Linked DNA regions of Arabidopsis thaliana. The protein of the gene in region 2 interacts with the protein of the main gene of each other region in a biochemical or structural test. Each region holds a gene or a part of one and is shown on either strand. Other genes may lie near its edges. The genes, in order: SOS2, GI and SOS3.

What was found.
Region 1: the proteins of GI (region 2) and SOS2 form a complex in vitro, tested with the Arabidopsis thaliana proteins (one study listed by BioGRID).
Region 3: the proteins of GI (region 2) and SOS3 form a complex in vitro, tested with the Arabidopsis thaliana proteins (one study listed by BioGRID).

What each region holds. Positions count from the first base shown.
Region 1 is NC_003076.8:13,631,451-13,635,998, forward strand, and holds the start of SOS2 (Protein kinase superfamily protein), read left to right. Parts: upstream 1-2,948; 5' UTR 2,949-3,167; intron 3,168-3,465; 5' UTR 3,466-3,482; coding exon 3,483-3,647; intron 3,648-3,733; coding exon 3,734-3,796; intron 3,797-3,894; coding exon 3,895-3,966; intron 3,967-4,051; coding exon 4,052-4,159; intron 4,160-4,256; coding exon 4,257-4,331; intron 4,332-4,399; coding exon 4,400-4,548. UniProt on the Arabidopsis thaliana protein: Involved in the regulatory pathway for the control of intracellular Na(+) and K(+) homeostasis and salt tolerance.
Region 2 is NC_003070.9:8,059,243-8,063,790, reverse strand, and holds the start of GI (gigantea protein (GI)), read right to left. Parts: upstream 2,041-4,548; 5' UTR 1,810-2,040; intron 1,601-1,809; 5' UTR 1,394-1,600; coding exon 1,229-1,393; intron 1,149-1,228; coding exon 1,094-1,148; intron 1,016-1,093; coding exon 873-1,015; intron 789-872; coding exon 517-788; intron 371-516; coding exon 315-370; intron 146-314; coding exon 1-145. UniProt on the Arabidopsis thaliana protein: Involved in regulation of circadian rhythm and photoperiodic flowering. May play a role in maintenance of circadian amplitude and period length. Is involved in phytochrome B signaling. Stabilizes ADO3 and the circadian photoreceptor ADO1/ZTL.
Region 3 is NC_003076.8:8,240,825-8,245,372, forward strand, and holds the start of SOS3 (Calcium-binding EF-hand family protein), read right to left. Parts: upstream 2,620-4,548; 5' UTR 2,307-2,619; exon of another isoform or gene 1-2,306. Other genes in the region: AT5G24275 (En/Spm-like transposon), read right to left, coding at 4,126-4,339, 4,417-4,548.

The DNA.
Region 1 (4,548 bases), on a different chromosome or scaffold from region 2:
CATTTCTATGTTTTACATATATATTTTTTTCTTTCATAAATATCTTAATCTATATAATATATAATTTAATAATATTAATTAACGTGATGTCAAAAATATCAATAGTGATTCGATTAATCGGGATTGTTCACTTATAAAAATAGGATAGATTAATCAAAATTGTGAGATTAATATGAATTATTTAATGTATTATAATAACTAAATTTATATACATCTTGCTTCCATATATTGTCATCATTTCTCATATTTATTACAATTCATTTTCTTTCAATATTTTGTTTTTAATATAAAAAGCGTAAATTTTAAAAATATCATTTAATGAGATACTTATTGTGATTAAATATTGATTGTAATTATCTATGAAGCACTAATAAATTTAGAGAGACTAATAATAAATTATTTATTTTCGTTTATAAATTTAATAAAATAGAAATTTATATTTTGATAATGTTTATATTATTTGGTGACAAAACATTTAGAAACTTTTCCATATTTTAAAATATTTTTTTTATTTTCATATATTGGTTTTTTTCTATTTTACAAAAAATTTAAAAAATAGAAAAAGAATAATTTAATAAATGTTAATTAGCGAGATGGCTAATCTCGATTGGTTGTTTAAAATCTATGTGGATGCTCTAAGAAGCAAATAATCTCGACTTTTTTAAGAGTATAGACTAGGTTATTAACCCCCGCTATGCGAGGTTTGTTGTTATCGATTGTCTTAATATATGTTTTTTGTTTAGTAATCATTTTAGTAGCTAATTAGCTATACATTGACATATGATTAGGAGTGTCAAAATGGGTAAGTCAACTCAACTCAACTTATAATCAAATGAGTTTAGGGTAACAAAATGAGTTGGGTCAACCCATAACTCATTTAATTTGATGGGTTGAGTTGTTAAATGGGTTAACCCATTTAAGTAATAATTTAATTAATTATTATTACAAAACATAATAAATAATTATCATTATTAATTCATTATCATCAAACTTAGGATATTTACGTATTACACTTTTTATGGATTTACGTTTTTGACGATAAAATCATGGATTTACGTTTTTTGCGGGAAAATTACGGATTTACGTTTCTGGCGGGAAAATTACGGGTTTAAGTTTTTGGCAGGAAAATCTCGGGTATACGTTTTTGGCGGGAAAATCACGGATTTACGTTTTTGGCGAGAAAATCACGGATTTACGTTTTTGGCGGGAAAATCACGGGTTTACGTTTTTGGCGGGAAAATCACGGGTTTTCGTTTTTTGGCGAGAAAATTACGAGTTTACGTTTTTGGCGGGAAAATCACGGGATTTACATTTTTGGCGGGAAAATTACGGGTTTACGTTTTTGGCGGGGAAATTATGGATTTACGTTTTTGGCGGGAAAATCTCGGGTTTACGTTTTTGGTGGGAAAATTACGGGTTTACGTTTTTGGCGAGAAAATTATGGATTTACGTTTTTGGCGGGAAAATCTCGGGTTTACGTTTTTGGCGGGAAAATCTCGGGTTTACGTTTTTGGCGGGAAAATCTCGTGTTTACGTTTTTGGCGGGAAAATCTCGGGTTTACGTTTTTTGCGAGAAAATCACGGGTTTACTTTTTTTTGCGGGAAAATCACGGATTTATGTTTTTTGGTGGAAAAATTACGAGTTTACTTTTTCTCAATTTCATTGCTTGTATATTTAAGAAATTTGGAAAAATATTAATTTTATTAAATTGGTTTAGATGTGTTGGTTAAACCTAAATTGGCATTGGTTTAGAGATTTTAGTTGGTTTTATTCAATTTTACAAAATTTGATGGGTTAATTGGATAAACCATGGAAACCATTAACCATTACAACCTAACTCATTTTACTCATCAAACCAATTGACTCATCAACTCATTTGACTCATCAACTCATTTGAGTCAAAAATTTCAACTCATTAGGGTTCATGGGTTGAGTTGAGTTGAGTTGACCCATGAATTTTGACCCATTTTGACACCCCTACATATGATCATAAGTTAATAATCAAAAATTACTATTGATAACTTTTTAACGGAATTGTTTTGTAAGTTTCATTTACGTTATTTATATAAAAAAACATAATGCAAAAGTACTAATGTATAGTTATTTTTATTTTTAATAATGCAAAAATATTACTGTAATACTTTTTCATTCTTATCAATATTTTTTCTTATATTCAATTAGCCACCAACACCTACATTTCATATTTCTCTTCACATTCATTATTTTCTTGCTCTTGTATTCCTTCTTATCATCTTCATTGCCAATTTTTCATTGACATTGTCATCGTTACTTTGTATGTATGATTTTTGAACATTTAATGTGAATCCCAACCGACTATAGGACTATCAAGAAGTTTTCAAACTTTTTAAAAAAGATCTTGAACCTTTAAAGCAAATCCCAACCGACTATAGAACCATAGTCCTCTTCCTTGTTGATGAAGCTCTTCTCGTGCCGGCGAAAATCTAGGCCATAAAAGCCTCTTCAACATCACCTAGTATATTGACCGTGACCATCTTTTTGACCATTGCTTTGTGAATGAACCGTCGATAAACCGTGTTATCACTTACGCCAAATTTTTCCCTAGTGTTTGTTTCCAAACTCTCACGAATCCTTATCGAACTTTTTTATATATCACTTTGTAGCATTGGAAAGTATCTTTGTATGCTTTGTCTTAAACTTAGACATCCTTGTTCTCTTGGTTTTTTTGAACCTTGCTTGACTTAAATGAAGTTAAAAATTTGTAGTTAAAAATAGAAAATTTTACTAATTTGAGTTCGATTAATCATAGTCTAGATAATTTGAAAAAAATTAAAATAAATTTTGAAAATACTATATGTTTATTTTTTAAAAATAATTTACTAAATTGATAAGTGATATTAGATTAGTTTTTTTTTTCTTTTTTAAATTTTGAAAACCTCACAATTATTAAATTGAAAGATTCAAAATGCAATGTTAGTTTTTAAAAGTTTAATCACCCAAACGGATAATTGACCCGAACGACTAATTCAGGTCGTATACGGGTACAGTCAAATAACCCGACCCGAAATGCTCAACGGATCTGCACGGACGTTCGCATCGACGATTCACGGCTTTCGCGAATCGCATCACGAGCCTTCCTTCTCTCCTACGCCTCTTTCATCAACCCTTCTCTGCGAATCCAATTCTGGTATTTCACGATTCTCTTTCGACTACGCCCAATCGCAATTCCAGCCGTACGAATTTTATATATTGATTATGATCTTGATCCTTACCTTTTCGTCGTTTCCTTGATCGAATTTATGTTGATTTATGCTGCGAAATCAAAATTATGGATACAGAGTAATTTTGTATATATGGATGTGTAGGAGCTAAAATTAGCAAACAATACGTAAAGTAATTGAAATCGAAATCATAAACGTTTAAGGAAAGAGGTTTTTACTAAGTCTCTGAATAATCTGATTGATAGCTTGTGGTCAATGGATCAGATAAAAGTTTGTAAAGAATGACAAAGAAAATGAGAAGAGTGGGCAAGTACGAGGTTGGTCGCACAATAGGTGAAGGAACCTTTGCTAAGGTTAAGTTTGCGAGGAACACAGACACTGGTGATAATGTAGCCATCAAAATTATGGCTAAGAGTACAATACTTAAGAACAGAATGGTTGATCAGGTATGTTCTGGATTGTTTTTTACATGGAAACTAAGGTTGTTGCGTCAATGGTATGATCTTTGATTTCGTTTAAAGCTCTTTTACAGATAAAAAGAGAGATATCTATAATGAAGATTGTTCGTCACCCGAACATAGTGAGGTTGTATGAGGTATGTTTGTTTGTTTCCATGCATCTGCGAAATTTTATCTCTGAAGTGTTTTTGCATCATTGTTCTTCTGTTGTTTTTTTGTGATTTTCCCGATGTAGGTGTTGGCGAGTCCTTCGAAAATATATATAGTTTTGGAGTTTGTGACAGGAGGAGAGCTCTTTGATAGAATTGTACGGAACTTCCATACTTGTAGGCAGCGTCCATTAGTTAAAACCTCTCTACTTAATTTTTTAATATATGAAATCTTTCATGCAGGTTCATAAAGGGAGGCTTGAAGAAAGTGAGTCTCGGAAATACTTTCAACAGCTTGTAGATGCTGTTGCTCATTGTCACTGCAAGGGTGTTTACCACCGTGACCTAAAGGTAAAGACGTGTTTTTGTTTACCAATATTCCTCAGAATATCTCACTGCGTTGCAATCCAGACTTGATATTTTTGTGTCGCTATGTTATGTTATCTAGCCAGAAAATCTTTTACTCGATACAAATGGAAATCTGAAGGTTTCGGATTTCGGACTCAGTGCATTGCCTCAGGAAGTAAGTGCTCTTATCTCTGCTTCAGCAGTCTGCTTACGTGGTCATTAACTTGTTATATACTCAATCAGGGAGTAGAACTTCTGCGTACCACATGTGGAACTCCGAACTATGTAGCTCCAGAGGTACTTAGTGGACAGGGTTACGATGGTTCAGCAGCTGATATTTGGTCTTGCGGGGTTATTCTTTTCGTTATATTGGCTGGATATTTACCTTTTTC
Region 2 (4,548 bases):
GGGACAGCGACCGCTGTCAGCGTAGCAGTCTCATATCGAGCAACTTCATCATCACAAACACTCAGTATGACACCAGCTCCATTAGCAACAGCCCATCTTGGGGTTGAAGGCATCAGTTGAGGATGTTTACCAGATCCTCGAGAAGCTGCCAAAGTAGGACAACATGAAAGTTATAGGAAGCAACTCAAAACACATTCTATAGCCACAGGTGATGGATACACATTTATGAACGAAGTGATAGAACAACTCTATTGATCAGAATTATCATCAAAATCCAGTTCCAGGGGATATTAACATGGAATTCTTGAACTCACCAATGGTTGGCGGCTTGAGCTCTCCAGCAGCATATTTACCCATTACACCACTACACCTGTAAATAATAAGCAACATTTTTAGTTGTCAGTAAGCTTAATCCACTACAGAACCTCAATACATAGACCTCAGCAGAGAGACCAAAATAAAAGAAGGAGGCCGGCGCATGAACACATAGAAGCATCAGTAACAGAGTCTACTTACCATCGGAAATAGTCACTTCTTATACCAAGAGGAGCAGCAAGTAGTATATCACTGATCCATGGAGACAAAGGCCTTAAAGGTTTCCTTTCATGCTGTGTTGGTGATCCAGCCTTAGGCTCTGAAGTCGGAGAACCACTAGTTGTAGCTTTGCTCAGACAATTTCTCTCTGTATCTCCATTTTGCTGCTCAGTTTTATAAATGGGACGGTTGTAATGAGTCAAAATGCGAAGGATTTCTCCACATGCCAAAGCCCATTGCTCCGAATAGTCATTCTGTTAGGATAGTGAACATGTTAGCACAAAATGGTATAGGTTACACCAAATCAGTAAGCATGATACTAGACAGCTATTATATACCTCACTACTTGGGCAAACTAAAGATATGAAAGAGGCAAACGGATGAGCTTCCTTGCTGTACACCAACGAGCCATCAATAAGACATGAAATGATTGGAAGAATGACTGCATGACCATGCTCCGGATGATGAAGGACAAACATCGCTGTTTCATCAGAAAACGAAAATCAGATAGACATTCACACACAAAAAGAGAAGTGTGGATCATAAATGTTGATCATACCCAGCACATCGTCTAAAAGTCGCTTCTCAGTTGATGGATACTGATGCCGGACCAACTGATACAGATAAATTATACATGAATCAAAACGTCACTACTAAGAGAATACTCTTATTAAACTCATTAGGTATCAAGTACCTCAGCAATGTCATCTGGGAATTGCTCTGATGTAAATTGACCAAAATATTCAACATAAGCAACGACTTGATCCTTATGTTGTTGAGGATCTCGTGGCGGAGGCCATAACAAGGAAGAGAACTGAAGACCATCGATCCATCTCTCAGATGAAGATGAACTAGCCATCCAGGAACCGAAACTAAACCCCAACTAGATGAACGAACAATCTAACTAACACCTTTCTTCTACTATCAATCGAGAATCAATACGACGTAGTGTTAACATTCGCCAGCAAGAACAATCACTATACACATCTCCCAGATTCTTTTAAATCCTTTTTATACTAATCAACACACTGTACACTAAATCGAAGCTGAATCAAACAGCTAAACCCTGTAACAACAATTCAGAAGAACAAAATCTCAATCAGATAAGATGTCAAATCAAACAACAAATCTAAGCTGAGAAAACAAAAAATGCTAGTAGAAACAGTGATTTACCAAGAACTTATTTAAAAAAAAAAGACATCAAATGATTCGGGAAAAAATCTCATCTGAGAATCAATCAACCAAAAACCACGAAAAAGGTAGTAGAAGAAAGACCTGAAAGTAAATATGTCTTCCTATGAGTTTGTTGGTTGGTTATCTCTACTCTTGCTTTTTTTTGGCTTTGAGGATATTTTTGAGAGATCGACGAATATCGGAGAAAAAAAGAATACATACACAGAAGAAGAGATTGTGGTGGCCTTAGGAGAGAGAGAGAGAAAAAAGAGATTTGGAGGCTTCTCCACTCGGTTTAAGATTTCCCGTCTGCTTACGTGTCATCGATATTTCCTTGCCTTTGCCACCACCTTTATGCGCCATTACCATATAACCATCATCATCCCACATACATCTCCACCCATACCATGGTTAAAAAATTTACCATATTTTTGTTACATTTTTTAAGCATATATATATGAAATTTTATTTTAAAAAATTTTACTGGTAGTTTATGTTAGTGTTGTTTTGGAATCACAATGCGAATTCAAATTCGTATATTGTATGTTACAATCACCAAGAAAAATGTTTGCCAATTTAAGTAATTAATTTTAATCCTAATAAATAAATTTTGTAAACTCAGATTTACTCCAAAATTCTGTCTATTTTTAACCATGAGCTAAGTTTAAAATCTACTTAAACATATAATTATATCAATAATATTTGGCTGTTTTAAAATAAACCATTACATTCACAGTATGGCATATATTGGTAAAGAATTTGTACAAGTAATCAGAGAGATTATTTTATTTCAAGGTTTGGTGGTCATGATTGTATTATTGAGTTATTAATTTAAGTATATAACATCTCTCATGTGATTGCCTAATTAATTAATAGTTTCATTACACAAAAAAAAAGCTAGTGACATATGTCCACAGATATTTTGAGGGGAGCTAAGTTCAGATGCTACGAGATGTTACGTACACCTTCGAATTATCCACCGTTGATTCAAGCCCACTCAACAAATTCCTTTAAGAGATTTCGGGCAGCTAGCCCAGAATAGTTTCGAGCCGTTCGATGGTTGTAGATAAACGGGCAGCTTTTGAGGAACAGCCCGTTGAGAAAATATCTAAATGGGCCTCACACATCTTTTAAGATATTTTAAAATCTTACCACTTGTCTCTACTGTACCACATAAACAAGTAGCACAATAAAATGATGACGTGTACCAATCAGAGTGGAGCAAGAGATCTGTGGACGTTGATCACTCGCCAAATAAGAGACGTGGCGCAATAAGATGTGAGCAATATATTGTAATGATCTCCATACGATTCGTGATTGTGTGGTCCACTTCTGTCTGGATGGCTCTTGTCTGAAGAATACTCCATGGTAACATAACTGGGCTTTGGTCATGTACCATGTGATGTGATGGGCTCAAACCTTACGTGGAGTTATGTAACTGGGCTAAATTGTAATTTTAATTTTTCAGTAATTGCTTGTAATACAAATATATTTTTTGATATCAAATTGTAATTTTGAGGAGAACTTACTATTATTAATGAAGATGATAAAATGTTACATTAATGTATCATTCTAATCATAGTAAATATATTAAGAATTACCTCAATTTTTTGGTTTATGATTTACCAATTAGGGAAAACATTAATTTTAATAAAAGCTACTTTGCCTACCTCTTTTTTTTTTGTTAATATATCATTTTAATAACAAGCTTTTATTAAAGTAATATTATGGTGGAGAAATTTTTATAAAATTCTAAAACTTTTTGAAAAGGCGTATTCTCAAATTGTAGGCATTTCAGTTGATATATTATAAGTTTAAGTTATAGTCCAACGAATTATTTCTTTTGTGGTTTAGCAAACGAGATGTTCATCATTACCCATTTCATTGTCAACAAAACCTTTAGAAAATGATATTAGTTATCTTCAAGTATGACTATTATAAATTTATACAGTACAATATACTTTTTTCACAGAAGGACCGTGACATCAATCAATTTAGTATAAGAAAAATCAAATGGAAAAAAAAAAAAAAAAATCAAATGAACATCTTTGCAACGCGAAACTAAGCTCAACACTTGATTTATTCATTATGTTATACTTTAAATTTAAAAATCTTTAATGATATCTTCTTCTTTTTTTGCTAAATTCAAAAAATCTTTAATGATATATAAATTTAGTAAATATTACTGATTAGAGATATGCTGGTTTAGTTTTCATCCGATCATAGTTAGATGTGGTATTTACATAATATAATCCATAAACTAACATAATTCCCTTTTTATCTCAACTCAAAATATATGTAAAGGTGTATATTCAAAAAAGTTTGTCAAGTATTACGAACAAACAAATCAGTTACAATATTCAAATATTTGTCAAGTATTCATATATTTCTAAATTTCAAAGTAAGAGAAAAAAGAAAGTGGATGGAACAATCTAGAACCGAACACAATGAATGGAAATATGAGCAAGTTATAATTTAAATATGTAAAAGGAGAGTGAAGTCAACAAATGATGAGGCAAAGGGTCGGCTCTTGTAGCTCCAATGAGAAGGGTCAGACACATTTTGGACGGTGACATGTATCAACCCCACTCACTCTCTTCTTTATTCACTCATTTTTTTTGTTAGTCTTCTTGTGTGCTAATGTATGGTCAATTTGAAATTAGCACTGATGTTGACTTTTTAAAATATTTTCATATGAACGAGCTGGTTCATGTACCATGCCAACATATGTTTTTCAAATAAATTAATCGAATTAGATTCTTGTTGTGACTGAGAGTATTTTCGATCAACATAAACCATTCAAATTAACGTCATATCAAACACTATTATGAAATGAGTGGT
Region 3 (4,548 bases), on a different chromosome or scaffold from region 2:
TAGCCATTAAAATAGTTGTAGCTTTCACGACAGCTAGTAAGCTCTCCCTAAACAATCAATTCATTAACAGAAGTAGCCAAAATTAGAACAAAAACAGCGTTTTCCCTATTTAATCTATAATTTAGTAATGATTCACAATAAACGTAATGAAACCAAATATTATATAATTCACAGAAGGTGTAGGCAAGTCGCCGTATTAGCCACGCTAATGACTAGGTGTATAGATATAAGAGATAATTAGTTTACTCCTAATTTTATTATCCCTAATAACATAGATAAATGATCAAAGTCTCCTATGATATATGCATACATATAGATAATACATAAATACAAATACCGGATCAATATCAAATCTAATCGACGTTGGTCCACGTATATACATGAATCAGTCAATGTACTCTAGTAAATATCTACAAAGATGTTTTCTTTTCTTTTCCAAATAAGCTTGAACCTATGTCCAACTCAATCACAAGAACACATTTAAGCGAGTAATACAACCATGTCGTAAGTTTAGGAACATAATAAGAAGCCGGATAGGTTGAATAAATAACGGCTTTGAATGGTAACTCATTATCAAAGTTGTACAAACTGTACAACTTTGACAGTTACCATTCAAAAAAACTTTATCAAAAACGTTACAAAAAGTTTTATTCTAAACTTTTCTGTACAGCTCTTTTAGACAGTTTTGTACTATTTCGTAACAGTTTACCGCTCCAGCTAACAGCTAAAGTTTTGTGTTACCAATCAGACCCAACATGATTTAAGTTGTTTTGGTGAGTACATTTTTAAGTGAAGAGAGACTAGAATGGATTTTGAACGAAAAGGATAGAGAACTAAGAGAAGAGTTACAATATGAATGGCCATGGGACCACATTAAAAAGTGATGCTTTATCAAAAATCAATAATCACGAGATTGAGACAACCTTTTGTTGCTTTTTTCAATGTAGGCAATTTATATGTGTTTTACTAATAAATAAAACAAAAAGGGCTTGATTACACTTACACTAATATCTAGAGACTATATAGTATATTTAAATCTCGTTTTGTTCCAAAAAAGCCACGTAAAATCCTCAACCATACTAGCATTTAATTTGGTACATATCAGAGCCTGTCTTTGACCAGGCAAAGCGAATCTTGAACTTGGAACCTCAAATCTAATATAGTATATATTTGAAAACTACATGAGCCTAGTTGGTTAATTAATGAATCATTAATAATGATCAACTAATGCCTAAGGAAGGTTTTGGTGCATTTGGCTTTTCTATGACATTTCTAATTAATGTATTAATTTATGGACCATTTTGATTTTGTTATGTGTGGAGCCTCCAAATTCTCATTACCTGTTTTTTAGATCTATACGTAATCATACTCAATGTACGTCGTGTAAACAAACTTAGACATATCTAATTTAGAAGCAGTATTTTCATCTTGTTGTTTACTTCTCGCGATCTTTTTGTATAATTAATAACAAAAATGTTGTTTAATCAAACCGGCCACGCAGCAATATGACGTTTTAAAATTAATTATTTTCTCTATAAGTATTTAAATAGTAAAAATGAAAAAAAAAAAAACTTGCAGCTATTGACTTTTATAATTTATTTGCTATAAATAAGTTTATTAGGTGTGGTCTTTGATTTTTAGTAAGAAATCAAATTTGCCATCTCCTCTCCTTAGACTCTAAATCACCAAAAGTGACACAAGAAACAAAAAAACAGTTCTAAATATCTAATGGCTACCAACTAATTAAACACCCACCAAAATCGAACCGAGATGGACCAAACCGGATATGATCCAATTTGTAATCTCTAATCTGAAATAACTTGATTTCGATTGAAACCAAAACCAAAGCCAAATTCCATTGAATGATTAATGGAATGTTGGAAACTATACACTCAATTAGAAGAAAAACAAAAATCAAACGGTTCAATTCAGTCTATAGCACTAAAGAACTCAATTGAGTCAGTTTTAAAGAATGGTTTTGCTTTGGTTTGTTTGTTTTTTCTAATATTTAACCGAATTATACTAAATCTTATCAGAAGATTCCTGGAAACACGGACATATTTTGACTCTTTCTTGAAGAAAACCCAAGATGGGATAAACTTCAAGCTCATAAACCTCCATTTCGAAAAAAAGAGAGAGGAAAACAGTGAATTCCTTTACATATATCTTGAGGTGGACTAAAAATTACGAAACAGAAAACCAAAACATGGAAGTGATAGAAAAAAAAAACATTGGATAGAGATGAAAGATTTTCTCAGCAATGGTGAATCGAAGAAACAAAAAAAATAAGATCAAAAATAACTAACCAAGATATGGATGAATCTCTATATGTTCTTGTCGACTCTTCACTTGTCTCGATCTTGAATAATTGAATAATGGTGTTGGAAGAGGAAAAGGGCAAAATGAGAGTTATTTAAATAGAAGAACAAATTTGTGACGAGCTTCCCAACATCGGGTTAGGTTTGTGTCCGTCCATGCGCAGATGGATCCCGATGTTATGTCGGTTTTGAAAATATATTTTTATATCGTGTACTATAAACTATATAGCAATGTTTCCTCGACCTTCTATTTATGACAAACAAAAAAAATATTAGAGTAGTACTGTTTTCAAGTCCCACCTCACTTTTTAATTTCCTTTTGTTGACACTTGTGGTGGTTGTTGGCAAATAATCTTTTAAAAAATTATAAATATGAGAGGCAGTTTTTGATATAAAAATAACCTAAAATATTATTCACTTCTGAAAATACACCAATTTTAAAAAAGTTAATTATATATTTCATAAGAAATTTTGTCTTACACCTTCGCTTGATGTGTTTGTCTTGGACCTTAGTTTGATGTTTGATATAAATAAAATGGACACTCTTGTGACCAAAAAAAAAGTCGCTAATATATTTCTTAAACTAACTAATACAAATTTTCTTACAGATGATTGATAATTACATTTATACGTATGCTCATTTTTGTAGTAATTATTATGATTCCGATAAAAATGAACTCGATTGTTTATGAAAATTTTAACAATTACCATGAAAACGTAACTATGAAAGAGATATATCACATTCATCATCGTCAAGCTACCAGATTCCACAATGTACATCACTTTTTATAGGGTTTGGAACTTGTCAGCTGATCATACCCGTCCTATAAGAGAGCTTCCTACTCTTACATAAAAAAAAACATGACAACACTGAAACTACATGTGCCTAACTTTTCTAACTTTCGTCATGATCCACAGAGTTTTATTTTCTTAGTTCAATTACAAAATCTTTATTTTATTTATAGTTGACCCATCATTTCATTTGCACTTTTTCAATTAAACAAAAAATTACGATGTGAAATGATAAATTTTCCTTCACTTTTTGCCCACTAGTATTCTCTTTTTGTCTGTTGGATTGGTGATATTTTAAAAGTTTGGTTTTGCTACCATGGCTATTTTCTTATAATATGTTCGTTATGGTTCAAAAAATCTAGTTATTTAAAAAGATCATAGCAGCAAGATCAAAAACAAACTTTTGAAATAGAAAATTGGTGAACAAAATACCATTAACCGAAAAAGAAAATGAAATTTCAGAACAAAAGTGACTAATCCAAAAACACAAAAACCAAACCGATAACCAACAGGTAAACAAACTGTTTGAATCGTTTTAGGTCCAGTTTTACTCTCATTACTCTAAAGACTGAGACTGGATTAGCTCTAATGAGTTTGTGACATTGTGATATTTTTCATTTGTTTTCTTCATTTTCTTGTCTACCTTACGCATTGAACACTTCTCCTCCTCTATCTTCTTCGCTGCCATTCTCACTTTATCTCTTGCTGCTTCCATTTTTCTCAGCTTCACTTCTTCATCCTCCTTTAGTGTAATCGGGAAATGAAATTCCGGTATGCTGATCCAAAAACCATAAATCATATCATCCGCAGTAAATACAGATGCAAGGAATAAAACTCGAGTTTTGAGCTTTACAGTTTAAATTCAAGAACTAAAACGGATACAAGGATCAAGAAAAGGTCAAGTACCTGCACCCGGAATATATGAATCCGTTATCTTTTGCGATAAAACCATCTAAAGAGACTGCACCACCACCATTGATGTGTGGAAGAGCTGCTTTAACTTGCTTTTGGGTCTCTATACCTGTAAATTCCCAAAGAGATTATAGAACAAAGTCTCTCTAAGCCCGTATCCTGAGTAAGTTTGAACAGTGAGCTCCTCTGGAGCCAAATCAATCATGTTCACGGCATAGCCCTTGAAACCCGGTATGGGATCTCCATCGGGCAGCTTTGGGTCATCCATGGCTAATTTCTTCTGAGGATCGTTCTCCAAAAGTCCATCCTTCCAAGGTCTGCGTGTTTGAAAAGATCACTTATGATTCTGTCAGAAACGACTCTAAGGTTTAGCTATCGATATGTTGACAAATACCTGATTGCATCAAGACATAGAACATGAAACCGATGATTGGACTGAAGCCTGAGAAACTCAGCATTATTAGGTCCAATTTGTGCCGATTTGCATACCAAAGCGAGCAACATGTCTTCTCCCAAATATTCAGAT